4 linked regions of the Lytechinus pictus genome follow. The protein of the gene in region 1 purifies or fractionates together with the protein of each later gene. This does not show direct contact. Links are inferred from orthologs where the notes say so. Each region holds a gene or a part of one and is shown in the gene's direction. Other genes may lie near its edges.

What was found.
Region 2: the proteins of ATP-dependent RNA helicase A-like (region 1) and nucleolin-like purify together in Homo sapiens (affinity purification with western blotting; 3 studies listed by BioGRID, with this or other methods). This does not show direct contact. The link is inferred for Lytechinus pictus from reciprocal best matches to the Homo sapiens genes DHX9 and NCL.
Region 3: the proteins of ATP-dependent RNA helicase A-like (region 1) and FACT complex subunit SSRP1-like fractionate together in Homo sapiens (co-fractionation; 3 studies listed by BioGRID and IntAct, with this or other methods). This does not show direct contact. The link is inferred for Lytechinus pictus from reciprocal best matches to the Homo sapiens genes DHX9 and SSRP1.
Region 4: the proteins of ATP-dependent RNA helicase A-like (region 1) and complement component 1 Q subcomponent-binding protein, mitochondrial-like purify together in Homo sapiens (affinity purification with mass spectrometry; 3 studies listed by BioGRID and IntAct, with this or other methods). This does not show direct contact. The link is inferred for Lytechinus pictus from reciprocal best matches to the Homo sapiens genes DHX9 and C1QBP.

The regions. Positions count from the first base shown.
Region 1 is NC_087256.1:29,477,076-29,484,706, forward strand, and holds the start of ATP-dependent RNA helicase A-like, read left to right. Parts: upstream 1-4,453; 5' UTR 4,454-4,615; intron 4,616-7,631. UniProt on the Homo sapiens protein: Multifunctional ATP-dependent nucleic acid helicase that unwinds DNA and RNA in a 3' to 5' direction and that plays important roles in many processes, such as DNA replication, transcriptional activation, post-transcriptional RNA regulation, mRNA translation and RNA-mediated gene silencing.
Region 2 is NC_087258.1:12,360,236-12,368,713, forward strand, and holds the start of nucleolin-like, read left to right. Parts: upstream 1-5,377; 5' UTR 5,378-5,463; coding exon 5,464-5,496; intron 5,497-8,478. UniProt on the Homo sapiens protein: Nucleolin is the major nucleolar protein of growing eukaryotic cells. It is found associated with intranucleolar chromatin and pre-ribosomal particles. It induces chromatin decondensation by binding to histone H1.
Region 3 is NC_087246.1:34,904,712-34,912,284, reverse strand, and holds the start of FACT complex subunit SSRP1-like, read left to right. Parts: upstream 1-4,486; 5' UTR 4,487-4,592; intron 4,593-7,573. UniProt on the Homo sapiens protein: Component of the FACT complex, a general chromatin factor that acts to reorganize nucleosomes. The FACT complex is involved in multiple processes that require DNA as a template such as mRNA elongation, DNA replication and DNA repair.
Region 4 is NC_087246.1:21,877,136-21,885,415, forward strand, and holds the start of complement component 1 Q subcomponent-binding protein, mitochondrial-like, read left to right. Parts: upstream 1-5,019; 5' UTR 5,020-5,202; coding exon 5,203-5,509; intron 5,510-6,875; coding exon 6,876-7,017; intron 7,018-7,671; coding exon 7,672-7,750; intron 7,751-8,280. Other genes in the region: beta-1,3-galactosyltransferase 1-like, read left to right, coding at 1-2.

The DNA.
Region 1 (7,631 bases):
CTGCTTTCCTTCCTTTTTCATAAAAAAAAATATTTTTCTTCGTTTTCTTTTCACTTTTCCCTTTCCTCCTTTCCTTTTCCCCTTTCCTTCCCCTTTCCTTTTCCCTCCCTTTCTCTTTTTCCCTTTTTTAAAAATTATTTTCCCGGTTAAATCCGCCAGGGGGGCAGCTTGCCCTCCCTGCACCCCCCCCCCCCCCCCGCCTGTTACGCCACTGTTTGAGAGCGGCTATGACTCGGACTTTTCAAAATACCAAAAGTCTCGTAACTATATACTCTTCGCGCGGTCATGGCCATGGTCATAAAGCGTACTCAAGGAGCGCTTGGAAATATTGAGATTGAAGCATTTTGTGAACATTTCAGGAACTTGAATCAAGATCACAAAGAAAGAAATGGTGAAATAATCATTGAATCGCCAACAAGTAATGCAGTTTTAAACAGACCAATTGACAGAGATGAGGTAATCACTCAGTTAAAAAAAAATAAAAACGGTAAGGCGCAATGGTGAAGATTTGCTACCTAATTAATTTTTTAAGAACTCAACTAATTCTCTGCTTCCTTTTCTTCTTGAATTATTCAATAGTGTGTTTGAAAGTTGAATTGTACTAACAGATTTAACTATTGGTTTAATACGGCCAATTTACAAGAAAAAGGGGAAACCCGAAGATCCAAACAATAATATAGAGGTATCACTTTATTGAGTTGTCTGGGTAAACTTTTCACAGCTGTTTTAAATCATCGGCTGAATCTATATCAAGAAGACTGTGTTCTTAGAAATGAACAAGCTGGATTTAGGAATAATCATTCAACGCTAGATCATATTTTTACTTTACATTTTGTTACTTGAATTATACCTGTTTGGCAGTGCGTTCATCGATTATCGCAAGGCATTTGATATTGTTGATAGGACATCACTTTGGAACAAATTACTTTTAAGTGATATAAATGGAAACTTTTTCAAAGTGGTCAATAATAATAGGTAAATCGTGTATTATCAAAGATGGTGAAAATCAGGCCTATTTGACTGTAATATAGGAGTGCGTCAAGGAGAAAATGTATCACCTTTACTGTTTGCTATGTTGATGAACGATTTTAAAGAATTTATCAGAGAACGATATGATGGTCTTGATGTTTTACCTGAGAAACTTCAGTCATTATTACTTGATCATGGAATTGATATGTACATGGAGTTGTTTACATTACTTTATGCAGTATGATACCATTGTCCTTGCCAAATAATAATTATAATAATAAACAGTTCTTGTATAGCGCATATCACAATTATGAATAACGTCTCTATGCGCTTCCAAAGGACTTGGATATTATTACCCTGGGTGTAGTTCAAGCAGCCTTTCCAGCGCTCGATATTTCAAGGAATAAATTCCTGCAAGGTACCCATTTACCTTACCTGGGTTGAGTGCAGCACTATGTGGATAAATTTCTTGCCGAAGGAAATTGCGCCATGGCTGGGATTCGAACCCGCAACCCTCTGTTTCAAAGTCCGGAGACTAATCCACTGGGCCACAACGCTCCTTGCCAAATCTGAACAAGAACTTCAATGTGCGCTCAATGCAGTATCAGATTATTGTAAAAGATGATATTTAAATGTGAATATATAGACAAGACGAAAATTGTTATATTCTCCCGTGGCAAAGTGAGAAAAAACGGGTTCTTTTACATTTTAATAACCAGGCTCTTGAAGTAGTAGATGACTATGTATATCTTGGAATTACCTTCAATTATAGTAATTGATTTCGGAAAGTTCAAGCTAAACAACTGAATCAAGCAAGAAGAGCAATGTATAGCACGTTGAATAAAATTTATCATCTTGATTTATCAGTGGATATCCAAATTGAATTGATCAACTTGTTTTACCGATACTCCTCTATGGGTCAGAAATATGGGGTTTTGATGTGATTAGAGATCTAGAAGTGTTTCACATGAAATTTTGCAAGCAGATATTAACGGCAAACTGCATGCATGGTTTTAGGCGAACTTGAAATATTCAAATTAGATAAAATAATATATTGAGAAAAGAATGATGAACGGTATGGATTAGTTCACAATAGGAAAACAAAAATGTCTAGTATATGATTTTCGAGACTGTAAAAATACTTTCTGATCAAGGTATATATCAGTCAAGTTGGTTAACGCCAAAGCAAACTCTTAATAGATTGGGCATGACGAATTTATTTGACATTTCTGATTCCTCGAGCAGATATTGGGTAAAACAAGCTGTAGATCTACGAATATAGGATTCACAGTTGCATAATTGGTTTACGTTCATAACCGAAAACTCTCAGTGTGTTAACTACTATATATTCAAAGAAAATCTTCGTCTAGAAAGTTACCTCATCAATATGAATAAAAAAAGATAGAATCGCGTTTTTGTAGATTTCGTTTTGGAAATCATCGACACCCTTTTGCCTCAGGAAGATATGAAAATCGTCAAAGGAACATATTAAGGTTTTGTACATTATGCAACCTTCAATCAATTGGTGATGAATTTCACTATCTATTCGTTTAATGTCCTTCTTTTGCTAAAGAAAGAAAGTTTCATCTTAAAAAAATATTACACTGAAAGACCGAATACTGTAAAAATGAATCAGCCATTTTAATTGTGAAAAACCAGAAATCCGTTCCAACCTTGAAAAAATTGCAGGAAAATTATGCTTCGTTTCTCAATAAGTTACGCTCCAAATTCAATATTTTGAGCTGTTAATTGAATATTGGAGCCAATAATATGCTGATGCCATTACTTGCCTTTTATTAGACAGATGCATATGCTAATTACAATTTTAAAAAGCTGGGTTTTTAAGCTTCAAGGCATTAATCCATTATCTCATGTAGGCCTAATTATCAAATTTTCTAAACTTTGCTACGCTCGAAATATGATATTTTGAGCTTTTTGACTGTGGTTTAATAGCCAACGATGTGATGATGTCGTTATTTGGAATTTTTCTTTCTTTTTTTAATCATATGTTTTTGAAGCTTCAGGGTACTATATCATTTGTTACTATAATTTTTAATGCTAAAATTTGTATTTTTTATTGATCTTTTTTTAAATTTACTCTAAATGATTGGCAAATTACTTGATGAAATGACATTGATGATTTTGTACATTTTTATGATTGTTTCTCCAATCAGTACCCACTCTATTGGTGACCGTGGGAATAAATGTTATTGTCATTGTTTCGGTCATTGTCACCCTTGCCAAATATAAAAAAGCCGAGGGACACACCAAAATGCTAATTGACCGCTAAAGCTCGTCTCACACGATCCGAAATTGATTGTGATAACCAACAATTGATATGGATATTCCAACTAATATTACGGATCAGACTTCACAGTAGTGGCTTCTGAAATCGAAATTCAGTCCAGTTAGAGCCTCGACGCGATCCCTGAATGAATGAAATTCAATTCCAAATCGTATAATGACGTCATCATTGGCTGTGACTTGAAGCCGATTTGGACTTTACTCCGACCAAAGGGCTTGCCGCAAAGTAAAACAGTGATTTTAGTTTTCCTAACGATATGCAAAACTTTATTTAAAGTAATTTTACTTCTTGGAACTTTCATATTTGATGCATATATGCGTGTTTTTTTTTTTTTTTTTTAATCGCGTTTTTTTTTTTGAAAAATCGCGTCGCACCGGCCGGATCGCATATGTGAGCGCTATTGTGCTCTTAGAATATACCGCCCCTGAAGACAAGTCAAATGAAGGATAAAACAACTATGTATATATATTATTTATTTTTTTCTTATGTTACTAAGAAAAAAAGCGATATTGTATTGAATGGGTGTATTGAATGAATTCAATAAATAACAACTTAATAAAACAAAAAAATGCCTTCGTGATACGCAAAGCGCTGATTTGTCGCCAATCTCGTCAGAATGGTCCATGGAGATATCGATCATATATATTTTTTTTAAACAAGTAAACTAGTTACCAATAATGCGTATAGCATTTCCATTTATTTGAATGCAGTATAAAAGAGCTATGATATATAGAATAGATATGTAATATATCAAGAGGTGGATATATTTTTTAAAAACAAGTGCACACCAAGTTACCAATAATGCCTATAGCATTTCCATTTATTTTAAAGCAGGATAAAAGAGCATTACACATTAAATACCTTGCTCACAGGCATAGGTGCCGCGGTCGGGGTTCGAACCCCGGACTCACTCGGCCACGGCACCTCCACTTTTGTGGATATATATATATATATATACGGTATATATATATATATATATATATATTTTTTTTTTTTTTTAACAAGTGCACACCTAGTTACAAATAACGCGTAAAGCATTTCCGTCTATTTGAATGCAGGATAAAAGAGCATAGGTGTCGTAGCCGGGGATCGAACCCCGGACTTTCCTTGTATAGCCAGGCGCCTTAGACCACTCGGCCACGGCACCTCCATATATCTCGTCATGAAACATAAAACGCCCTCTAACGACGTGACCTTACATGGCGATTGGAGGTCGAGGCCACTGAACTAGATCTCGAAGAGAGAAAACATCACAAATCAAGACATAATCTGTGAAAGTACTCTTATTTGGACTACTCTAGAGACTTTATACTTTTCTTGAGTTGCTGATTCGTGAGTTCGGTATTTAATAATTATTTTTATAGATTTCTATTCAATAAAAATGTTGTCTAATTTTTAATGGCGCTAATGCACTTTCGCACCAGGCTCCGACAAACAAGCGGCGTCCATATGACAAGATCTCCGTTTCGCCGGCGTGGCTGGCTGGCATGGCCATGTGATGGATGGGGGTACGGCTTGCGCGTAGTGTAAGCCGGCTGCAGTTGTACATGTATGATGTTGTGCTTATTTCTTTGCCTTGCCTTGGCTTTGGGTGCAATGAAAGAAAGTGTGTAGACTACATGTATGGCAAAGTTCCCCAAGTCTGCACATAATGAATTTTGGGCATTTCATGTGAGACTGAGACTGGAGGCGTGGAGCCTCACAAACAATGCATCCTTTTTCATCAAAATCCCTGAAATGCTGAAGTGAATCACTTGCATTTTGCAAAGTCTAAGCGAATGGGGTGTAGACTCTAACAATAACATTACACACTCATTCAATGAACAAGGTTATGAATATGATATAACCTTGTTCTCGGTTATATCTCCATGTAACGTTAGGGAGTTCGGTGGAAATGCCACTTTGACTTTCAGAATTTGTATCTGTCTGTGCACCCATGTATAAAACAAATATGAAGCCATTAAAGGAGGAGGAAAAACCCTATAGAAACCTATAGTATACCATGAGAAACTTTGAAGTTCTATGAATAAAATGATGTATAGTTCAAGGGCATGCCTTGCCCCGCATAGCAGCGCATTGCACTTTTAAAAAAAGTATTAGGCCTACACAGTCCCATTCATTGCATTTTGTGTAAGTTATGAAAATCTACTTTTTGCTGTAAAAAAATCTGCACATTCTCCCGTTTAAACAGACATATCTCTGTCAATATTTGACATGAATTGATTTATTTGACAAGCTTTCCAATGGTACCAAATTTGTTGGGATTCCTTCAAGATTTCAAAAAGAAACTGTCTCCCCCACCCCACTCTAGGCGACACCCCAATACTTACCCGTGCTAATAAACTGGGACTCCACTCACGCGCGTTTGGGCCTCCCTAGCTTAGAACTAAGCACTAATATCACCTTAAAAACTAAATCTACAAGGTATGTATAATCTATTTACAAATTTAATAATGTTTAATCGGTACTCACCGGTTCTTTTGTTGCATTTTCAGACCATTTCTCACAATTCTTCGTAAATATTTGCGGCAAATTTTGTCGCCATAGACAGCTTAGCGTCCATCTTTATTGATAAATGGAGCGCCCTTTACGATAGTTGTTAATGCCGCGGAGAAATCGTTAGGCATTTTGGCCTGTGTTCAAGGCGTTCTTTCTGTTTTATTTTTTATATTGAAGATTGTGCATTTGTTGAATAGCGCCGTCTACGTCAGGTATGAGATCGAGTGTATAAATACACTCTTCCAAAATAATTATGATTCCGACCTGGCGCTGTTTAACTTCAATCTCTTTCACCTAAATTAGCGATGAATGCTAGCATTATAAAATATATATTATTAACGTCTGACGAAAAGAATAACCAACCGATCAGCTGACGAGAACGCGAATCACGTGATCTTCATATCAGCTTCGATCGCGAGTCAGAAGAGAAGAGCAGCTGCCCAGAAAATCAGGAAAAAGCTGTGAAAATGTAAGTTCCCCTTCATTTCTTTCATTTTTTGTTGTTGCTAACGATGCATTTACACTATAAAATTATAATTTAAATAAGAGAAAGGAATTATAGCTTGTACTTGTGATATAATGTTTAAATATCCTGTTCTCAGAGATTTCTAACCAAAAATACTACTGATGTCGCCTATGAGGTCCATACATGTAATGTTGGACCTCATTGGTACTAGGAGTGCCCCACCCAAGCCTTTAATATTTTTTTTGACAGAACAAAATCTGCATATTTTCCCCTGTAAATTAGAATAATCTCCGTCAATATATCAGACAATGAGTTGAATGAAGCACCAATATTTTTCTTATTTTACAAGCTTTCCAATGATATGAAATTTGTTGGGATTCTTCAAGATTTCAAAGTCACCGAACTCCCTACTCCATGTGTGGCAAAATAAGGGTGGCAATGTTTGGCTTATTTTCTCTTTTTCTTTGGGACAAATGCTTGATTTTTTTACACTGACAGTTTCCATTACACCTATTTTTCATACAACTTGGCTCTTAAGTAAATTTGATTCTTTAAATTATTTTTTTCTTAATTAAAAATAGAGATCAAAAATGAAAATTTTCTTGCCTACTTTCCACCAATAGAGGACGTACACAAAAATATGCCCAAAAATCAAGTTTTTGAGCGCTCTGGTGAATACAAAAATTATTCCCAAGTTACTAATGAAGAATAAATTGCAACTGTATGGAAATTAGTAATTTTGGTCACAAAAGTGATATTTTAATGATTTTTTTAAAGTGTGTGCTCTGTACAACATTGGCATACCATAGTCCTACCTGTAGATTCCCCACAGGCAGGATGGTTGCAGTGAACAAGTGACATTACAGTGTTTCCACAGATCCAAAATAAATGGAATCGCCTGCGCCTGTATTTTTCTTTAAAATTTTATGAGATATTTGGTAGAGTGAGACCACCACATATCGACCACCTCTTTTGAAACCGACCACCTTGCGCGCATTAAAATTATTGCATATTACAAACGATACGCAAGGGGGAGTAGGCGCAGTGTCCGTAGGAACGGTAAGAATCGATTTACAACAAAAAATGTAAAAATTTAGTAGAATTCATCAAAATTGCATTGACCAGACCCGAACCCCGCCGAAAAACAGTTGTTCATACCAAAAAATCTGATAGTAAACGGCTTTAGAACAAAATCCGTCGTCAATCGTCGAATCATGTGCTTGAGCTCGCAGTGGAAGTAGTGAGACAATCATTTAGCATGTTGACATCATAGAACTGATTTGGAAGAGTCAAAATATTTCGCCAACGCGACAAGAATCAGCCGTAAACTTAGTGTATCGCGGGTGGTCGGTTTCAAAAGACGGGTGCGAATGAGCAAATGTAAAATCGTCA
Region 2 (8,478 bases), on another chromosome or scaffold:
AAATTTCCTTTGTAATATAATGTCCTTAGAAAAACATGCAAAATAATAATAATAAAAAACAAAAAGAAAAATCCACACAAAATTTGATGCAATACAGATTGAAGTTGGTCCAATTATATGTTGCTTATCTTGAACTGTATTCTTATTACTTGGACTAATGCCCCCCCCCCCCCCCCCCCGGAAAAAAGGGAGAGTGTTTTTGAAAAGTGATATTATTTTTCAGAAATGTCAGTATTAAAATAAGTCATGTTTGTATCATATTTCATTTTACATTCATGCTAGGTAAAAACAAACTTAAGATCTGCCAAAAGTTGTGTATGGTCCAACGATAATGGAAAGTCTCCATATGAATTGAAATATTCTTATTAATTCCATTTATTTCATTCATTGAAGTAATGTATTTTAATTAAATTCAGTATTAAAGAAAAACATCTTTGTAATGATTTTTTTTGTGCATAATTCTTTGAGCTATACTCATTCATTACATGATGAAATTTAAATGAAAATGTCACAATTTACATGAAGGAGGAAAGTCATGCTACCCAATATTTCATTTTGTTTTTTGAAACTGAGAAGTAGGGTTCACACTTGGACACAGATGTGTTCTCACGAAAGACCAGAGGCTTGAATGTTGTGTACACTCCAACTGAAGTGGAGTGAAATGTATCGATGGGTGAATGACGATCATTGTTGAAATTATGTGTTAAGGTAGATCAAATGATTGCCTAGCCGCGTCTGAAAGTATCGATGAATTGTGTCCGCTTATTACAGAGCATGATGTATATAACTATGTGTGTATTGATGGAATATGTTTGTATAATATAGCTATCTGATTTCAACTATCTTTATGATAAGTTTGGGAAGTGGGATTGTTCATTCAAAAGATTATCATTATACATAATCTTGTTTGCTGTGTGATAACACTGTACAGTTGCTCACAGAACTAACAATTATCAATATTCAAATGTAAAAAGTAACATTGTTTAGTACTAAATATTGGCAGAGAATTCATTTTTCTTGAGGATATGACCCTCCCACTGTGCCAAAAGTAATTTAAAAATGCAGTAGAGGTGTAAATAGAGACCATATAATACTGTACTAAGGGGCATGACATTGTCACTGACACATAATAGGTTGTTTATGTAAATTTCTAACGACCTTTTGTTTCATGTCACACTACTTATGGACACAGTTTGGACAGTCATACACTTGAGGTAGACCCAATTATTAGCCAAAATTCTGGAGATTAATAAATATATGAATTTCTGACATTCAGAAATCATTCAGATCATCTTTTTAGAACACTAGCTTCTGGGCACCAATAATATTTCTGTACAACATGGTGTATGATATTGCTTTGACCATCCATGTCTCATACTTGAAATTTCACATTTGAGATAGAAGTGTTGCAATTTGCAGTGTAAAATGACTGGTTTTGCACTTATGATTGTTTACTCTACAGATGAGCATTATTTTCATTATGGGTTTTCAGTAATATTAGGATTGCACTAGAGTTTTCCCTTCGTGCATGTTGTATGTGTTGTTTTTGTCAAAGTGATTATTTACAATAATGTGATTTTGTCTTGTATTTAATTGGTTTAGTATTTTCCATATTGTCTGCTGAAATGGCAGAATCGTTACAATCCTCAAGCAGACCTACCATTTTCTCAACTATGTTGGTTTACAGCTTGTCGGTCATGTATGATCCAAACAATTATTTTATTATCAGAACTAATATACGTCATATCATGTAAGTACCAGAGGACTGGGTACCAATACTCATCATTAAGATATTAAAAATCTCTCCCAAACTGAAGAGAGAACATGAAATTGCCCAACTAACACCTACCCACTGCTTTGAGGTACCATTTAGAGTCTTAGTTTTCCAATAATTTCATTAATGCGATTGTCATCAATTCAACCAGTTTTCAATGGAAGTTTATTAACGTCTTTTCATGGGTAGGAATACTAACATAATCAATGTGGAGTCTTGAATACATTATGAATACAAAGTATATACATTACTCTTTTAGTTAAAGTCATTGTTAGGTCGGGATTCTTGTAGATCTACTGGTGATTTCCTATCAACTTGAGATTTACCCAGAAATCTCACTGTGCTGCAGCTCGATTTGTTTTTAATGTACATGTACATTCCTGCATTTTGTGAATAAATATTCTGTCCACCATCAAACGTAATGTGCCATGTCATATATTTCTACCAATCATAGTCTTTACAAACTTCCCTGGTTGCAGTGCTGATACAAAGGAGATAGAGTCAAAGCTGTCTGTTACAGCCACCCAACAGAAAAAAAAAAAGGTCTCTGTGGACAGGTGGCATTTTTTAGATGGTTCCGTGACATTTGCTCCGGTGACAACTGCTCCGATTGAAAATCTGCACATTGAGCGAAACATAAAACCTAACCCCCAAAACTAAAAAAAAAAAACCTAATCCTAATATTTACATCATTCTGAACCAAAAACTCTATTACAATCCTAAGTCTAACCCTATGCCTTCTGATATATTAAGACCGGAGCAATTGTTGCAGGAGCAAATGTTGTGTCACCTTATAGACAGGTTCTATTAAACATGTATCACTTTCAAATGGGAGACAATTTTGTTGGCCACTAAAGTAAGGTTTTCACTATAGATAGGTTTGACTGTATTTACATTTGATTGTGGGGGAGTTTCACAAAGCTCTTTGCAAGTGATGTTCACTGTTGAATCCTTGCATCTGATCGGCTGAAAAGCCTGACAAGATTCTTCATGAAGCTCTCCCCTGAAGTCAAAGAAAAGGAGGAACAGCTTAGGCTCTGGGGGATGTGAAGTTCGGTGTTGACCTTTGGGTGCTGGGCTGATTTTTTTTAAATCATCAGTACAGCACCAAATTAAAAATGAAGTTGGTCCTTGGATGAATCTTACTAGATGTTGAGCTATCAGTATCAATTGGGATGAGATTTGCAAACTCACATTGGTTCTTGGATCTAAGGAAGGCAATCTTGATTGTGCTTCCAACCCGAACATAAAGGACTTGCAACTGTTGTAACTTTGCCATTATGGCAACTACCATGGTAACATTGATTCTGATTGGCTGCTGAGCCCTGTTACCATGGTAGTTGCGATTATGGCACAACAGTTGCAAGTCCTTTATGAAACAGGGCCCATTTCATGAAAATTGTTATGATGACAAGTTTGCAAGAACAGCTTAAAGCTCAAGTCCACCCCAGAAAAATGTTGATTTGAATTAATAGAGAAAACTCATACAAGCATAACGCTAAAAATTTCATCCAAGTGGGATGTAAGATAGGAAAGTTATGACAGTTACATGCACACCTTGGTTCTATGCGAAAGAGAGAATCGATGTCTTTGTCCCTCACTATTTCTTTTGTTTTTTATTAATTTATACAATACTTTGATTTTTACAGATTTGGCTTGACTGAACAACAAAATGGTTAAATAATTGTATTCCACATGTTCAGGGAGGAATAGAACTTTGTTCCACATGAAAATGAGAAAATTGTAATATTTTATATTCCACATAATAAAATACAAAAGAAATAGTGAGTGGGTGGTGTCATCAATTCTCTTTTTTGCATACCGACCAGGATGTGCATATTTAAGCGAAATTTTAAAATAGCATAACTTTCTCATTTTACACCTGATTTTGAGGAAATTTTCAGTGTTGTGCTTATTGCATTTTTCCCTTTTTATTCAAATCATTTTTTTTGGGGGGGTGGACTTGTCCTTTAAAGCTTCTGAAATCATTCAATATAATTGGCTAATAGCAAATTTCTTACAGAAATTGTGGACTTAACATGCCATTATGAAACGGGGCCCTACACCAATACCAAACTTGATATCCCCTGTTTTTTTAAACCGAGTTTTCAGCGACATGAATGAAATTGTCAGCTCTGATTACTTCAGGCATATTTTTGGTGTTAATTGGGTGAAATTGGGTCGAGTTGTCCAGCCGATCTGGCTGTTCGGCTTGTCGAGCTGTCTGGACCCCGTGTAAAAAGTTGTGAAATATAGTTATGCAGTGCCAAACTGCTCTCCATTTGGGGTGTCGGCTGTGCTGCGATATCATTTAAAATTAAGGTACCCCAGGTTCTAAAACTGTACTGCAAATGTATTTAAAAAGGAATGTATTTTGGAAGAAATCAACCAAGTTCAAGTAGGCCTATCCGCCTATCCCATCTTCACCCCCCCCCCCATAACAAAATGTTGGCTCAGGGGGGGGGGGGTAGGTGGTTATCGGGCACGTATGAGGTGGCATCATTGCCGGATTGAATTCCTTCAGTGCTGGTGACAGCTTTCAACTTACATAATCTCTATATGCAAAGCAAGCACATAGGTGAGTCTCTCACAGGGGCCGCAGAACCCCGGGGGGGGGCACTCGACCAAAAAAGTGGTAGGGGTGTGCCGCGGGCGAGGCAAAAAACGGGGGCCTTGGAGCGGGCTTATTTTAAAGGAGGGTCCTCGGAACGGGCTTCGGAACTACAAATGTTTGTGAAAACGGGGGTCCTCGGAACGGATCTCCGTATCTCTGTGAGTGCGTATGGAACGGGCAATCGTGCATAACGCAGCTAGCACGGCCTCCGCCGGGTGCGCTCGCGCTTAGGCGATGGTCGAAAAGCGCTCTACGGCCGCTTTTCACCAAAATTGTAGCAAATCAATGCGACCGGAACGGCGTAACGAAAAATATGCGAAGCTCTGGAACGGATTTCTTTCTTCTTTTTTTCTCGATAAGAAGGAAATGCTATGCCTTGGAGCGGCTTTCTTTGTTCTTTTTCTCAATAAGACAAAAATGCTATGCCTTGGAACGGAAATTTGAGTGTAAAAATGGGGGTCCCCTCCGCGGCACATACCCACTATGCATTATATACTGAGTGCCCCCCCGGGCGCAGAACTGTTTTGAAAATGGGGGGGGGGGCGGCTGCATGTCCATATAAAAATCAGGGGACCGTTTCATCAACATTTTTGTCTGACAAGTTGTCAGATCTGACATCTTTCCTTGATTCTGATTGGCTGAGAGGCACTGTTACTATAGTAACTGTCGGATCAAATGGGACTTGTCAGATAAAACGTCCGACAAGTCCTTTCATGAAACGCTCCCCGGATGGTCATTTTTACGTCTTGTACATGGTTTTGAAAAAAATTGGAGGCTGAAGCCACCCCACCCCTGGTTCCGCACCCTCTTTGAGAAGAGAGGAGGCAAATTTCACGACAGGTGAGGGGCATATTACTGATTTGCCCCCCCCCCCCCCCTTCCGAAAACATTGGCATTGTTCCATTACGCTGCCATAGTGCATGCCTGCTGCGCCTATGGTGCATGCGTACGACGACACGTACGTCTCGCGCGCCGTACAACGCCTCGCAAAATTCGGCCATTTAATCATCACGTAAACTCTCGGAGAAGACTGTGCTCTATCTTGATTAAAAAAGAACCACTAAATTTAATCAAAATGGGAACCAACAAAGTTCAAAAGAAGACTAAGGTACGTTTATTAATCATGATTACCATAAGTAAGGTTTGAAAAGTGTGTTTTGAGTGTCATGCTGCTCCCTGTTGACACTTAAAATTCTTCGTTTTCATGGCATGTTGGGATCGTTGAAATTGCAAATGGAGACACAGTGCGTGAACGTGAATGGGCCATGAGGCATGAATGGTGATTGCGTGCAGAAAAAAGCAACACGCGGTCTGTGTGCTGGGCCACGTGGTGAGGCTGGCTGGCGGCGTGCCGTGGTTGGTGAATGGTCTTGAAATCTTACTGAGACCGAGTGTCAGACAACTTAATTATTCTTATGCTGTGCTTGTGTAGTGTCCTCTGACTTAAAATTTATTCATGTTCGTCCATTTTTTTTTTTTAAGGGGGGGGGGTTTGCCCAAATTTGAGTTTTATTAATCTATGACGAGTATGACTTGGCTAGATTTGGACTTTTGGTGCAAGATCGCCACATGCTCCAACTAGTCTGCACAGTGCCCCTTGTCTGAACATTATTTAGACTCAACATGGTGCTAAATATTGAATTGAAAGCATTAAATTCATGGAATATCCCAAATAAAATGCAGCCTTGCTTGACAAAATCCCTGAAACTTGTGCAAAGTGAATTGGTACGCAGACATGGGGCACCATTTTTTTGTTTAATCTAAAAATGACTGACCTCAGTTTTTTCCAAGGAAATCAAATTTCTCTCTAATTTGTGTCTCACCTTCAATCCTGCGTCGTCAACATAGAAATCTTATACTATTACTAGGTTAAGTTTTTGAATTATCAATGTCATAACTTAGAAAAATATGGATAAAACTTGGACATAAATGAAACTTAACATCCTGCCTGGGTTTCAAAATCTTCTTTACCTAGAGTTAGATTTTTAAAATGTCATACATGTAACTAAAAAAGTTTGGTCAAGTGTGTGACCAAAATTATGACAAATCTTGACTTTAAAATAGATTGAAATTCACAGAGCAAAATGCTGAAAATTTCATCAAAATCGAGAACACATAACGGAGTCGGTGAATTTTTAAGTTAAGCAATATTTTGTGAAAATACTGTAGTCGCACGTCGTCATGAATATTCATTTTGTGGGCTGATGTCACATCCCCACTTTTTCTCATGTTATTACATAAAATCATAATTGTTTCATTTTTTCATACATGTGTGTATAACGTGTCTCCTTTAATAAGTTGCAGCAATGAATACCGGTATCTAATGCACTATATCAGTGGTCAATCCAATTTTTTGTAGTTCTTGATAGAAAAAAATTGAATAAACCTAATAAAATACAAAAGAACAAGTGACATCAATGCATAGAATTGTTTCACTGGAATAATCTTTAAAATGCCATAACTTTGTTATTGTCCGATTTTGATCAAATTTTTAGTGTTTTTTTTTTTTTACTTTAATGTAAAAAAAAATCATGTAGGCCTAACAATTATAGGTTTCCGAGTTTATGAAACCCTTGCCTCTGGAAATAGATTATTGGGGCATACGTGTAATTTTTTAAGGGGAATCCAACCAAATAAGGAAAAGAAAAATCAGACGAGTTGATAGGTGAAAGTTTGAACAATATTGGACAAACAACAAGAAAGTTGTGAATTTTTTAAAAGTTGTAAATATTGGTAATCACTATACCCATGGAGACTTTAAATTGGCCGCATATGGGATGTCATAGTGATGTAAGGCAAGGACTATTCAATGTACTCCAATACACATTATGGCTAAAATGTCATTTTTCCCAAAAGTTTTATTTCAAATTATAATTTTCTGTCATGAGGTCTTAAAACAATATACTACCTGGGTTGTATTTAGATTACTGCCCCAGGGGAATGGGTACTTAGGAGAAAACCACAAATCCCTGATAATAAAGTACATGGCCTATGGGAAAGTTGTCCTTGCCCCTTGTCATAATTTACTTACTCAGCTGCCAATTTGAAATCTACATAATATTAGTGATCTCAATTTTAAAGCAGCTATAATTTCTTTCAAACTTTCACCATTCTGTATAATTTATTTTTCTTCCCAACACAACATTTTATGGCCAAGGCTGGATTCCCCTTTAAGATGGGGGAAAATATGTGTACTTGTTTCCGGTACCCTGAGGTCAGGCATTGTTTTAGGGTCCATTTCACAAATGGGTAGGAGTGGTCAGTGGATCCACAGTCTGAGCATCCAACAATCATGCTGCATAATTACCCCTAAAATCATCCTAACTTGAAATTTATCCTTCTGCAGACTATTAGCTGTACACCGACGTGGCCTGGATCTGGAGGAATGCTGCTCTTCATTAATCTTCGTCCCAGTTTTTGCATCTTGCGTGGTGCAAATTGTCTAGATATGTTGACTTGTTAAATTTAATGAAGGCTTAGCGAAGTCTTCTACATGAATGCACGTTATGATTGTGGTTAGATTGGGTCTTGCGTGATCCAATTGTGTTTCGATACAATGTGTTGGAGAGGGGAGGTCTAGCGTGGCCTGCTATATGAAATTAACATGTGGCTGGTTTGTGGGTCTTGCGTGGCCCAAAAGTTGGTTGCCAGAGTGTAAGTAATTGGGTACCTCCAATGGTAGCCGGAAAATGGTATTGAAGTGACCCAGTGGTCTTGCGTGGCCATGGTGTGAAGGGTCTTGCGTGGCCCTTGATCTAGGTATCATGCAGGTAATACGAGACAACGGGTCTTGCGTGGCCTGTGCATTTGTAGTACGGGTCTTGCGTGGCCCTAAGTTACATGTAAATAACTTCTTACGAACAGTGGGAGGTAGTACCAAATCTGCATGATTGGCGGAGAGTCTGTGGATAAACTGGTTGCGACAATGGTACCAAGGCCCGGCTTCAGGCTTTCTTAATAGATGACTGACTCGGCTCGCCCTTCCTACCAATTTCCAGACAGACCAGTTCCACTCTCGCCCTCTATCATGTTTAAGTGGTAAGGTACTTGTAGTTGTAGTTGAGATGCATAACCGATTTGAAGTTTTGGT
Region 3 (7,573 bases), on another chromosome or scaffold:
CTGAAGAAACAAAATTGAATTTGACTTTATTTTACATATATTTCACACGTAAACACAATACAAAAACAATATAGTATCAGAAGACTCAACATGATATTAAATTAGACATGGCAAAATCATTCATCTAAATACAGCAATTTAAAAAAAATGAAATGCATGACATATTTTTTTATACACAGTGAATCTATCTAAATAAACCCATTAAATATACGATATTCAATATATACAGTATGTTCAATATACAATATATCATTCTTACAATATGAAGTGACCACTATGCTATTAATATTATTACAATTAATAGTTCCATCTCATCCATTTTCTTTTCAAAAGACCCTTTGAACACTTTTATCTTACTAATGGTGTGAAATATGAAAAGCTTCTAACAAATTATACTCAAATATTCAAATCATATATTTTCTGAAATGGTTTCTTTCCAAAGGTAATGAAAACTTTCAGTAAAGTTTTAGTTAGATTTAGCTCTTGATCAAAATCAAGTAATATCATAATTATTATCAAGCAGAAATTTTAAATTTTTTTGCCGAAATAGCAGACACAAAACTTCTCTTAAAAAGTCACCAATGGTGAGTCCTGAAGTAATACTTGGAGATATTACACCTCTAATTATTTCTAAGAGGCCTAATATTGTTTTAAATTGGCTTGGAGAACCAATGAATTTGAATTAGAGTCCTATTCCCATAGCTGACCCTTGTCCATTAACCCATGTCTACCCATCATAATCCTACTCTTAACAGTGCAGCAAGTCCTTCACTTGCTTTGATTGATTTATTTCTGTTTCTTTGACTTCATTTTTTATTGTTTTCCAACAAAATACAATTATTTTGACATTGTAGCATGAGCAGGAGGGAAAAAGATCTGAGGTGAAGAGTGATATTCAGGGGTGGATCCAGTGTCACTTATGCTCCCCCCCCCCCCCCCTCTTGACCTCTTTTTAGGGGTACTTTTGACTCTTTTTGTACACCACTAAGAATGTATTTGGAGTCATCATTTTCTTATAGAAATAAAAACAAAAATCAGTGAGGAATTTGCAGGAGACTGCTATTGTTAACTTCAATGTATGGTGATCTCCTATATAAAAATATTCAGGTGGCATCTTCTTGACTATTCATAACTGATGATCTCTAGATTGATGCATGTGTATGTGAAAGAGACAACTACTGTGAATTTGTGTAAGGGAATTTGAGTATTAGGTGTAGATCATATTTTTTTAAGACATGGCTTTCAGGGAGTATATGTGTAAGTAGATACATTGGTGAATCCATTGTCTGGGGGCACAGGTCCCTAGAGAAAAAATCTGAAATTTAGACAAAGTACAAAAAAAAAGTGTGTGAACATAATTTGTTGGGCCATGATTTTGAAGTTGAAATTGACATTGCCTCTGTTGACAGAAAGTTTATTCAATTTAAACCAGCTTGATACATTAACAATTCCAGCATTCAAAATTTGTAATGAACGAGGATCTTTGTGAAATTAGAAGATATTCAAATTATCAGAACCAAAAAAAAGTGAAGCTCCGTAATGTCATTAGATGAGGAATAAAAGTGGTCCTAAAATGGGGCCCTTTGGCACACTGCATTGGGGGTAGAAGAGAGTCTGAACTAGGTCCATGTGATATTGTCCATTTGATGAGTATAGACATAATCTAGAGAGCAAAGTAAACTGTTGTGATGGGTTGTTATGAAATGCCTTGTTCAAGTAGAAGAATATTCCAATTATGTGTCCTTCATTTAAAGTGACAGCTCTAATTTTATCATTTTTATTTGAAATTATGTTCTGTTGAATCATTTTTTTTCTTGAAAATATGTTTATTCAAATAAGTATATTATAACAATGAATATACAGTGTGCTAAAAAGTTAGTGAACCCCAACAGAAATTGAACATATATTATAGTGTTCAGTTTTGCCATGTTTTAGACATTTACTTGTGAAGTCAGTTGATAAAATATTACATTCAGTAAAGTTTGTTTCTCTGGACTCTCGGGATAATGTAGTGCAGTCTACATTCAACACTCAGCATGAAAGAGTGCATTTTCTGGTGGGGTTCACTAACTTTTTGACACCACTGTATTGCATTTAAGTTTATTGTAGACCATTATTGATCAGAATTTTGGACAATGGGAAGTAAAGAAATGTACAGTTTTGATTAGTCATCCTTTTTTTAAATGGCCTTGACTCTATCAAGTTATTTTGAGATAGATCTGGTTGGCACCATGAAATAAAGAGTGGTTAGAAATATTGGTTACAGTTATATCAAGCAGGTAAATTATTTCTTTTGTGACCAAAAACTTGTAAAATCTGAATTAGTTTGTTATTTCACTTGCAATACTTGTTATATGTTATTAATTATTGTCAGATTTATGGCATATATATGTATTTTGTAAATACAGTCATATTTTTTGTATTGATATCAATAAACCTTTTGTTATCAAAGGATTCTTGAATTTGTTTCTCTTGTGTGTTATTCTACCTACAAGGAACTTTTTCTTGTAACATAAATAATTGAACTTTATGACATTTTATAATTTTGCTAGATTCACAAAACAGATATATTACAAATGAGGGAATCAATGACGTCCTGAGTGACCCACTCACTATTTGTTTCTTTTGTATTAAATCTGAAATATTTTAATGTTTTCCCCATTGCGATGTGAAATAACTGAAGGTTTGATTCCTCCCTGGACATGTGGAATTGCAAGTTTTGCAATCTTTTGAAGACTTTCTCATGTGTCAAATCCGCAAAGCTTTTTAAAAAGATAACTAGGTTCATAAAATACAAAAGAAAATAATACTATGTGACATTATTGGTTCTGTCATTTGGATAACATGCCAAAATAAGCAGAAAATTTTAAAATTTTGTGACTTTCATTTTGTAATCCGTTTTTGATAAAAATTTTATGAATTTCTGGTTGTTGGATTTTTTTCAGAATCTATTTCAAATCAACTTTTGGTGACATGATTGCGATGGACATGACCTTTAATTTATCCTTTCCACTGATAGTCCTTTTATTATGCATGTTTGAAAATCTATTAACAATCTGGGATAATGAATCTGGACTTGCGGTCTGGTATGCTCGTTGAGAAGATGAAAAAAAGATCATAAAAAGATTATATTATTTAATACAATCATGTGGATAAATGCTGCCAGGCAATTAGTCAAGCCTCTTGTGTTAGACACAGATTTTTAAACCTGATATAAACGACGTTTGAAGTTAAATTATAATATGAGCCAGGAAGTCCCCCCCCCCCCCCCGCCCTTGCCCTTCTAAGTTGCAATTTTTAGAATATACTCCAAAGCATTGCAAACTAAGTGATTAAAAAGGGGTAGGATATAGTAAATTTTGGCTAGCGTGATGTGAATTAATAAAAATAATATTGAAGAAGCATTATCTGGAATTAAAATATACCATTCATAATTCCTTTTCTGTTTTACTGCTACCCCCTGATATTTTCTTCATGTTCTCTTATAATTTAATATAAATTATTATCCTTTTCTTTTTCAAATTCTCATTTTCCTTCTTTCTTTATATACCTGTAATCACCCACTAGTCATCTACTCAACCCATTTCTTACTTTACTCTCTGTTCTGGTTGATTCTCCTGTATACCTTCCCCCCTCCTTTCTCTTTTCCTCCTTATTATATTTTCCTTATTCTTTGGGTTTTTTCCCCTCCCACCCCACCCCCTTGCCTTCTCTTTCTCCTCATCCTCTTAATATTTTCTCCCATCTTCCCCATTCTCTTTCTTTTCCTCCTTTCTCGTACTTTTCTTTTTTTTTCTTCTCCTCCACCTTTTTCTCCTTTCCTGTACTTGGGACTTTTCCATTCTTTTCTTCTTCTTCTCATCCTTATTCTTCTTCCTCCTTTCTTTACTTTTCTTTGCTGTCCTTTAGACCCCTTTTAACGCCTGTCCTGCCGTTCCTGTAAGCATATCTTTTTCATTGACCAACCTGTTCTCCCCATTCCTATAAAGCGCCTCTTCCTAGCCGCCATTACGATTGGCGGCGGAAGCCAAAAAAATTAGGGGGGACGCAGGAAACAAAATTAACAAGGCCCCCCCCCCAAAAAAAAAAAAAAGTTATCAACCAAAAATTTTAGGGGGAACCACCTAAATTTTTTGACAAAAAAAAAAGTTATCAACAAAAGATTTAGGGGGACCGTCCCCCACCTCAAATTTAGGGGGAAAGGACCCCCCCCCCCCCCCCGCTTCCGCCGCCTATGGCCATCACTCCCAATCCTTCCAAGTTTCCAAGCACCTCCAATCATCACATTGATTTTGTAAAAAGGTATAATCTTTTGAAAAGAAAAAGAGAAATATGAAGCAACCAAACTTGGGCTTACGTAAATAGGGGATTTAAATCTGGTAGAAATATCGAGATGGGGACCAAATTGATTGGACTCCGTGTCCCGACTCGTGTGTAAAGTCGATCGACTCGAGTCAACGATTCGGGATTTCCCCTTTACCCCGGCACGACTAGAGAGGGCGACAATGACTTTCGCGCATGTTCCAATTTTTCCCGCGACATGATTAGGTTACTGTTCTGCAAATGCATGACATATTAGTAGGCGGCAAGTAGTAAGAATTCCAAAAATTTTCTGTAGAATCTGATTTTTTGTGCTTATCCCCCTATTTTTAGGGTGCTGAATACGAATCTGCTTGTTGCCAAATTTATAAATGCCGTCTTGGACCGTTGCCATGGCAACGGATTAATTTCTCAAAAATTGCATGTATCCCCCTGTAAATGGTAGATAAACATGATATAAATTAGCCAATAGATTGATTTCAGGGTTCCAATTAAATACAAATGAAATTCGAAAATATTTAAGATCATCAAATTGGTTCCAATTGGCCCGTTGCCATGGTAACTGCTCATTTTTCCTCCAGAAAAGTAAAAATTTTGATTTACAGTTGTAGAATCTGTTTTTTTTTTCATTTTCCCGGCGTTTAGGGTGTTAAACATAGGAGTGGTTTTTGCTTAATGTATAAATACACTCTCATTCCATTGCCATGGCAACCAAATAATACCTAATTTGGTAAAAAAAGAAATAACATGGTAAAAAAAAACAATGGCGAGAAATACAATAAAGGCGACCTACATGTAATCTACATGCATTGGATTTTTCCCACTCATTTAGAATAAAAACTACATAAGTGTTATGCATGAGTTTATTGGAATGGTAGGAATTGATGTTGCCTTGAGAATGCTTGAATTTAAAGATAAATATCAATATTGCAAATGGCCCGTTGCCATGGTAACATCTTATTTTTATCAGAAAAGAACACATTTTGATAAAAACATATAGAGTCACATTTTTTTCGTTCATTTCCGCTAAGTTTAGGTTGCTAAAAATAAATATGCTTGTTGGTAAATATGTAAGTACCATCTCAGACCATTGCCATGGCAACCAAATACCAACTTATTTGGTAAAAAATAACATGTTGAAAAAGGTAATGGTGGGATGTACAGTAAAAACGAACTAATCTACATGACCAAAACCAAAATTACGTAATTATTCTGCATGAATTCATTAGAATGATAAAAATTGATGTTTCCTTGGGAACGCTTGATTTTATTAATAAATATCAATGTTGCAAATTGCCTATTGTCATGGTAACGGCTCAGACCAGAAAAGTTTTAATAAAAATATGTAGAGTCCGATTTTTCTTTCATTTCCGCCAAAGTATACACGTAGGTTGCTAAACATTGATATTATTGTTGCTGCTGCTTTGGTAGTGTATAAAATAATTTAATTTTATATGATAAATATCAATGTTGCAAATGGCCTGATGCCGTGGTAAACATCACTCCTCGCAAAGTTCCCTTCTGCAGACTTTCAACCTGAAGAAAGTAAACTGAGCAGTTTGCCATAGATCTGGATACATATCTTCAGAACCTCCCTGCACTCCCTACTCATTACGACACATTTTTAGAGCTGCTGAAGAAATCATCAAGGAAGAATATTCCACAAGAATGCCGTACAAGCTATATTCAGGACCGGCAGAAACACCATGCAGATTCGGATCCTTGGGAAAGACTCTACAAAGTCCCAATCTAGGTCCCAAGTTACCGCCGGCCAAGTGGCCACCAGCTTCTAGTGAACAACCAAGGTAACCCTCATAATCACCCGCGAAGATCCAACCTAAAAGTGTGCGGACAGCCTGCCAAGAGTCATCTGAGTTCACAAGACCTTTCAGCATGAACGACTTGTGCAATGCTATCAAGCAATGAAGATCAGCAAGGCAGCTGGATTGGATGATGTCCTCGATCTGTGAGCAGATGAAACATCTTGGACCTGTTGCAATCCAACGGCTGCTTGACATGCTAAACTTCTGTCTGAGTGAAAGCACAATGCCAAACTTATGGAGGAAATCAAGGGTAGTTGCCTTACTCAAGCCAGGCAAAAGACCAGCCATTGCAAAGAGCTACCGGCCCATATCTCTGCTTTGTCACACATACAAGATCTTTGAAAGGCTCCTACTCAACCACATTGCTCCCTTGGTGAATGAGCTCCTCATTCCAGAACAGGCAGGATTTAGGCCGGAAAGTCCTGTACTAGTCAACTGCTGAATCTGGCACAGTGCATTGAAGATGGTGGCTTCGAGAAAGGGTTGATAACTGGAGCAGCCTTTGTTGACCTCATTGCAGCTTATGACACAATCATCGAATACTCACAAGGTAAGTCTTTGAGATGACAAAGGAAGGCTTTAGCTAACACAGATGATTCAGAGCATGCTCTCAAATCAGCAGTTTTTGTGCATCTCAGTGGTTTCAGTAGCAGATGGCTGACACAGAAAAGGTCTCCCACAAGGAAGAATCATCGTCCCACTCTTTAGCATCTACACAAATGACCAACCAATCCACCAAATAGTGAGAGCTACCTGTACGCTGATGACATTTGCATTGCTTCACAGAAACAGTCCTCTGAAGAGATGAAAAAGCACTCAGCAATGCTCTGGTAGGCATGACTCCTTACTACGCTGCAAATCATCTCTGGGAAAATCCAGAAAAAACCCAACTCAGTGCTTTTCACCTAAAAAACAGAGATGCAGACCAATAACTAAGGTTCAGATGGTATAGAAAATGGTTGGAACACACCAGTAAGCCAATCTACCTTGACGTCACCCTAGACAGTTCCCTTACCTACAAAGACCATGTTTCCAAGACAAAGGCTAAAGTTGGAGCAAGGAACAGCATCCTGAAGAAGCTTGCCAACATAAAATGGGAACAGATGCCAAAACCATCCGTGCGACAGCTCTTGCTCTATGCTACTAGACTGCTGAGTATGCAGTCCCCATCCGTTTTAGGTCATCACATGCTGCAAAGATTGATACAGCCCTGAATGCTGCTTGCAGAGCAATTACTGGCTGCGACAAAACAAGAGCAGATGATCTCTACCTACTGTGTGGTATTGCCCATTCACACATCAGAAGATAGGTGTCAGCAAAGGTGGAAAAACGAGCAAGAAGATCACCCTCTTCATCCACCCTTTAACTATGAACCTGCCAAAAAGAGATTTAAAAAAAGATGTAGCTTCCTTCACTCGACTGAATCCCTT
Region 4 (8,280 bases), on another chromosome or scaffold:
AGAGAATGAGTTTGTACAATATCATTTCATAACGTGACAAAAAAAATTGCTTTCAGCATTTATGAAATAAAATAATTACAGCGTTAGGCGTAACATATTATAGGAGTGAATTCAATTGATTTGGACCGTGTTACCTCATAAGATAACCATTAAACCTTTGAAATAAATGTGAGCAAGAATATTATTTAAGTTTTTGAAAATGTACAGCAAAATTTGCAGTGAATTTTCGTCAAATATTGTTAGGAATTTCAAGGAACCTTTATATCTTGGATAATATTAGGCTTCATAAAAAATCGAAAAAAATTTCTTTTGTAACATTTTTTGTTCATTTCATGTAAATACACGATATTTTTTAATGTATGTTTAGTCCATTTCACATGTTCGTCCAGCTTTCAGTTTGTTAGATGATAATTTAGTAGATTTCGGGCTGTGATAATATGCTCGTATTGATTTATATATTTAAATGTGATAAATTTCAATAATAATAATAATTACTATTATTCTTAATAATTTGAATAAATAAATTTTAAGTAATATTGCTGTAGGCCTACATATTTTATCATGCTTTCTATCTGGCAAATTGCTCTCGAACCACAACAGAGCAGTTACATAATATCAAAACTTATTGTTTGGTCTAAAAAAACAATATTTGTTGGTGGAGTGCATCTGTTGCTCTGGATAATGAGTATCCGGTCCATTGGACATGGTGGCTCAGTTGTATATAGAGCACCGTCCTCATGAACGGAAAGTTATGGGTTTGATCCACGGCCGAGTCATACAAAAAAAATGGATCTTCTGCGGATCTGCTTTCTTGACAGGCTCTAGGTGTATTAGAATGGAGAAGGGTAATAAGGGCCCGATGGGAAAACAGTTCATGAGAAAGAGGGCTGAAGTTGCTACCCTGCCTGAATGATGATGATGATGATGATGATAATGATGATGATGATAATGATGATGATGATGATAATGAGGATGATGGTGATGATGATGATGATGACGATGATGGTGATGGTGATGATGATGATAATGAGGATGATGATGGTGATGATGATGATGGTGTTGATGATGATGATGATGATGGTGATAATGATGATGATGATGATGCTGTTGCTGCTGCTGCTGCTGATGATGATAATGATGATGATGGTGCTGTTGCTGCTGCTGCTGCTGATGATGATGATTATTATTATTATCACTATTATTTACAAAAAGAATTTGTCTAGATTGCGAGCATAATATATAGACAGGCAACACTTTATAAAGCATTGTCTGGTACAATGAAAAGGTACACATGGCTAATTAATTGAGTACAATTATACAAATCTATAATACAACACCACTCGAAACAATCACAGTAGAATGAAAAGAGGATCGATACTTTGGGACTATTCATATCGACGAATCCTCTCCATTACATTGAATCCAGTGCGTTTTTCTATCTATCGCTTTGTTTTGTGTGGCAGGGAAAAAAGTCTATATTATAATGACATGAATGAGGTGTCTTCCCAGGGAGAAGGGCAAAGGTGTTATCAAACTAAACTTGTTTTTTCATGTAATTTTGGTGAATATATACTTGGAGGTGTCAATAATGATGGCCAGATGTTTTTTTCCCGAGGTGTTGTGTTTTAGAAGTTTTGAGAATATATATTTGAAAGAGAAGGGAGGGAAGAGAGAGAGAGAGAGGGGGGGGGTGATAAATGAGTTATACGCCAGAATAAATATCATTGTGAGCATTATCTGATAGGGGAATATATAATGGCATTTATCCCATCCGGTACAGATTTTCAACACTTCACAAATACTATTTACAAATTGCAGCTCATACCGCTCCACACGTCTGTTTAAAGCAATGTATTTCACTATTCCTATTCATTATGAATAACCTGATATCAAGAAACGTCTATGATGGTATACTCAATAATTTATTGGAGCATACCAGCAAAATTAATTGTTTATTTGTATTGAATAGCGAGCTTTAATTTCAAATGATGTTTGAAAGTATAAACATTAGACAGATGTTAAATCATTGAAGTGTTCTACCCAAATATCTTTGTAAATTATGTATATCTATGTAAATTATTATTCTATTATGTAATCGTCACAATTTGTAATTCTTTCATTTATTTTTGTATTTCTTTATATTCACCATGATTACTGTGTTTCATATATTTTCAATAAATGCAGAAACACCTGCAAAAAAAAATAATTGCAATAAATAGGACCAGTATATAAATAAGAAAGGGTCTTTTCCTAAATATATGGTTCTCAATCTATGCAAATGAAACACGAAAGACTGGTGAATAGAGTATGAATGCAGCTGGTGATTCTTCTGGAATATGGATGTTATCGAACGAGGAAGGTCATTTGAAACTTAATCAAAGATATGTATTATAACTATATACATACAATTTCCTTATGACGTTGTATCTTTAAACCATGAATGTGCGAGGGTATAATTGCAGCCAGTGGCGAATCATTCCGGGGCTGGGCACTGGGGCATGGGCAAAAAAAAAACGGGGGAAAGGAAAACAAATAGGGAGAAAGACTAAAAAAACGTAATAATGATAATAATAGCCAATTTTTATATAGCGCTTCTCCCAGAATGGCTCAAAGCGCGTTACAGCATATTATTACCCCGGTCATTGTATTCATTTCAATCCAGTGGGGGGGGGGGGCAGGGGGGGGGGCAAGCTGCCCCCCCTGGCGGAGCTCACCGGGAAAAAAAAACCGGGAAAAAAAAAGGGGGGGGAGAAAGGGAAAGGTAAGAAAAAAGGGAAAGGGGAAAGGAAAAGGGAAAAGAAAAATCAGAAAAGACATAAAAAAGGGAAAACGGAAAGATAACGGGAAAAGGAAGGAAAAAAGAACAAGTGAGAAAATACAATTCGGCCCGATATACAAATACATTAGCATGATAAGTAAGACAGGGAAATAAATTAAATATGACAAAAAGGCAAACAAAAGCGGGAAATAAAGGCAGAATGGAATTAGCCAAAATTTAAATTGGAAAATAAAGAATAGGGACAAGATAACGTACACTACCGGGCTGCTGAGGATTGAGATAACGAGCGGGAAGAAAAATGGATGGTATATAGCATAATGTCGTATATGAAAGTCTATCATAAACTTGCTAAATCTCCAAAGGCTCTGTCCAAGAGTCAAGACCCCGTGCAGTGGGGGCTCTTCATCTGTAACCTTTAATGGGTTCTATAACGGGCCCCTATATGAACCCTTCCTGTATTAAGCTTTACGTTGAAGCACTGGCGTACCGGGGAGGGGGGGGGGGTGGTTCCACAGCCAAGGGGAAATAAAAGAAAATAAAGGAGGCAGCGAAATGAGATGAATGAAAAAAAATATATGACACGATATTTGCTATAATGATGTAAAAATATATCACATAATTAGAATTTATATTTTAACAGGCCATTTTTTTCTGGCTCGCTTCTCTCGCTGGCGACTTTTTATAAATTTTCCCACATTTGTTATGGTGTGCCCCTCACAATATTTGGATGATAACGATACACAACTGCATTGAATTTGTGTTGTGTTAAAGCTTTATAAATATACACGCAATTTGATTAAAATAAGTGGCCATCTGTAAGGCTTTGATATCAAGAGGTTCCGGGGCTCTGCATGCCCTGGACCCCACCCATAAAGCACTGTTATATGGATGAGTTTGGGCCATGGCCCCCAAAAGTTCTACAACCAAACAAAAAAATGAGGCAAGAAAGGAAAGTGTATTATATTTTTCTGAATATCACGTTAAAATCTATCTTCATGTTAGCTGATTCTCATGAAAAAGGTGATTTTTTTTAATCTCGCTCGCTTCGCTCGCTCGGGACCTATATCAAGCTACTTCTTGCCAGAAGCGCCATACTCAGCCCCCTCGAGCATATAGAGCTTCGCCCTGATGCTCACAATCATAACAAAAATCCTGTTCACCGTGGCGTACAAAAAAAGAGAGAAAAAAGGAAAGAGAGGAGGGTGAAATGTGATATCATCTTTTTAACATTATGTCAAAATCTATCTCAAAATTGGATTTTTACCCGATACGCCATATCGCCCCCTCAAAATTTTTGCCTTATGACGCCATTGCCTGTTCCATGATATGACTGGGACATTTTTGGCTCTTGCCCCCCCCCCCCCCCCTGGCCACCGACCCCTGTTACGCCGCTGTTTCAATCCCGCATGAAAAGTGCACAATTTCCACTCCCTGGAGAGCATTCCTTGCATTCATCGCAGCCTCATTATGGCGCTGGCAAATTCAAACATACAATAACTTTCACATCCTGCCGGGTACCCATTTAGCACCTGGGTCGAGAGTGGCAAAGTGTGGATTAACGCCTTGCCAAAGATGACATGTGCCCGGACATGTGGCAGCCATCTTGGATTTATGCAAATTGTCCTAGGATCCCCATAGGAACACGGATCAAGAAAAAAACTTCATCGGAAAGAACATTTCTAGGTTCGGAAAATGTATGTTTGAATGGATATTGTATCAAGGAGTGTCCAGGTTACCTTCTGATATTAGGAACTGTACAACTCTTTATCGGTTTAAAGTGCAATGTAAAAAATACCTCTTTGACAATCTATTATCTTAGTTAAATTAGAAAGTTTTTTCTTCCATAGAGTCTATTATGTTTTACATGTATCTCGTAGTTGGCCACCCTAGTCATGTGTGTTTGCGTGTGTGTGTGTGTGTGAGTGTGTTTGTGTTTATGCTGACACTTGTTTAATGTACATTTTGTACATATTTGTAGTCGATATATCTGTTTATTATGTATTCTCCTTTGTCATTTTATACATTTAGATCTACATCTTATTTAGAGGTATAGGGCCCCACTCACAAGCTGTGCTTCTTCGGGGTCCTAGAAAACCGTTCATATTGTATCATGTATTCTTTTGTACCATCTGATCATTGATTTGTACTCATAATATGTCTGGTTTTTGAATAAATTGAACTTGAACTTGGATATGAAATAGAGAATTGAGCAGAACTAGGAAGTGGGCACTTGGCACTCCATAATTATAAAGATATTATTTCGCCGCTCCGCTAAAGTGATAATTTGCTATCAGGGGCATGCATAATCGTGGCCGGGGAACTTTCAATTAGCTAGCTAGGGGCTCAGCGCACAGAGAAAACTCACATGTGTTTTCGACGTCGCGGAACGTGAGAATAGTGTAGTGTTAGAAAAACTGCCCGAAATGGCCTTTTCTTCCTCAAAATTAGTACTTAACGCTGTCAGCAGGGCTGTTTGCAATGGAAGACAGTTCAGTAGTTTCAAATTATCCTCCAGATATTTGCTGAAATCATCACAAGAATGTCAAACACCGCGTACCTTGTCACGATCGATGTGGAATTTGTGCACCAGCGGCAGCCGGCGAAACTCAACGGGGAACCGCGGGGACGACACGTTAGGACCGCTGGTAGGTGGTACTGGAGCAACACGGGTTTCTTGGCCAAGTAAAACCTGTTCCTGCGGCTGTAAAGGCGCTTGCCTGCATACTGAAGGTAATTATATAGATCTAGTGTAGAAATTGTGTTGATGTGCAATGATTCATAGCAGGAATCCCCTGCCTTAGACTTAGTCGAATAAGCTGGCAGCCGGCAGCCGTCTGTTTCGAGGAGTTTTTAAACATTTTTTATTTTCTTAGAGTTAGATTTAGTTTTTCGTACACAGACGGCTCGCTATCGTGCAGCCACCATTAGGGGACTTACAGTGCAAAATCCCCCCGACGGGGCTTATCGATTTTTGTCTTTATTTCATATTGAAAAAGAATTGTACCAAAATAGAGATTATTATTCCGTTTTGGCCTGAAATGCACCAAAACGGGGGAAAATAAACTTAAAAGGGGAAAAAACAGTGACTTACTTCGGATGTCGCGCAACTTCACTTCCTTGTTTTATCCGAACTTAAGTACATAAACATATGGCCATTGAGTCCCCTGTAGCTGTACAGATCGCGCTAGAACTTCGGTCTCTGTATTTGGTGAGTGGAGCCAACGGATCAAGTTCAGCGGAACTGGAAATGTAATTTTGAGCGTATTTTCTGTGAGACCCTGCTTGGTCTTAGCCAGGAGGCTCCTAGAGAGTAAAAATCATTTACTAACGTATGCTTACCCTCCACGGAGCCAGGGATTGCGTCCCATTCATGTGCGTGTTCCAAAAAAAACCAACAGATTTTCTACTTTCCTTCTAAAAGATCTAGCCCTAAATCATGTAAATGGGATACAACGTCATTTCCGACATTTCTACCATATTGATTTCATTTTTAAACAAGAACTCATTAAAAAAAACGAAAAATATGAAAAAACTGGGAAAACTTGCACGTTGTTCACACTGCCATCTTGTTTCTTATTGAATATTGTTCTTCGCCAACGCCACACAACGCTGCAGATGCATATCGAGGATATGTAACGTTAGCAAAGAACAATAAGAAACAACTTTTGTATGGATAGGATCATAGGATAAATATTTTTAAATTTATGACCATTTTATAACCGATAGGTGCACTATCATTAGATTTGAGTCATGTAATACAAATGGGGCGAGTTCAAGACACATAGCCCTATCCAAGTCCCACTGTCCCAGACTGAGGGATAACAACTATTTGTGAAATTTAGCAAATCTTGAAAATGACATCACTGTTTTACATCTGATTTTTATGAAATTTTCAGTGTGTAATTTTTTTAATTCTTTTTTTAATCAATCAACTTGATGACTTTTAGATGGGCAAGATCAATCAGGACAATGTTCTAATTACAAAAACGTCTAAATGTATGTGTAATTTTGAAACTTTTGTTACCCCTCTGTACTTTCAAATGATTATATCACACCATCGTCATCATTTGTTCAAATTGTTTTTCCCCTTTTACAGCTGATAGTGATTTAGTGAAATTCTTGAAAGAAGAGATTGAGGTCGAACAAGGCAGTCTAACGGACGTTCCAAAGATTCCAGGTTTTGAAGTCACTGTTGATGATGCAGAAATCACACTCACCAGGAATATAGAAGGAGAGAGGTAAGATGGTTGGGAGATGAGGCATACAGAAGGGGCCACGGACACTTACAAGATGGACAATAAAGCATGTGAACGGGTCATTTTTTCCATGATCGGGCAGCGTAAATGCATACAGTGAAAACGGTATCAAAATTTTCAACATCAGGAAAAAAGGGTATATACTTTTCAACAGCCAAGTGCTTGTGGTGCATGGAAGGGTATACAGTATTTCATCCTATCTATCTATTTTAAAGTATTAAGAAATTATTTAGAGTTGGGAAAACAGGACAAAATATTTGTTCATAGGGCTGAGAACAAAGCAAGATTACTTGTTTATGATGATTGTTTAAAACCTATGTATGAGCATGGTGTCCAACTTGTAATGACAGTAGTTATTGTACAGACACACAGACAAGTGTTTTGCCAATTATGTAAATGGATTGAATGAATCAAATAATACCCAATTCAGCTATTAGCGGATCTGTTTACAGGCCTGCATAATAAGATTTGAAATATTTAACCATTGTACATTTTCATTATTCCCAGATGTGTATTTTGACTAAAACAATGGGGGCAATCCGGAAATGGTAATGTGAAAATGAAAGTGCATGCTGCACATCCACACTGAATCTGATTTGACCTGATATCCGCTTGTTTTGGATATTGAACTTACAGGATAACAGTTCGGTTGAACATCAACCATTCAGTAGAGATGGAAGAAGGAGATGAGCAGGGTCAAGACGTTGCTCCAGAAGTAAGTATGGTGCTTTTGGCTTGCCATAGCTTTTCGTGGTGTACTTGAATAGGTTATAATGTTGATTAGATTGGATCCATCTTATCCATGTATGCAACTTTCCCCTACATCCAAATGGATTTGAGTATATCCGAGCGTTATGTGGCTGGCTACCATAGATTAGATTGATTTGAATTTATCACAAGTTGGTTCCATGTTGATATCTACATGCATATCTCCCACTTCCTCCATATACACCAGATCACATGTTGTGGGTCCCATCTTACAAAGAGTTAGGTTGATCCAATCAACCACAACTACATGTATGGAAAGCCAGCAACGTCATCTAAAATACATGTCTGTCAAAATATTTTCTAAATTGTATATTCATACACTCATTGTTTTCTTGACAATTCAGTATGCTTCTCTTTGTTGTCAAATGACATTGTGCAAATTTCCTAAAGAAAAATTATGACATTAATGGATTTCCATATACTTTAGGTTGATCAGATCAACCTAATTCTTTGTAAGACAGGGGGGGGGGGGAGGGG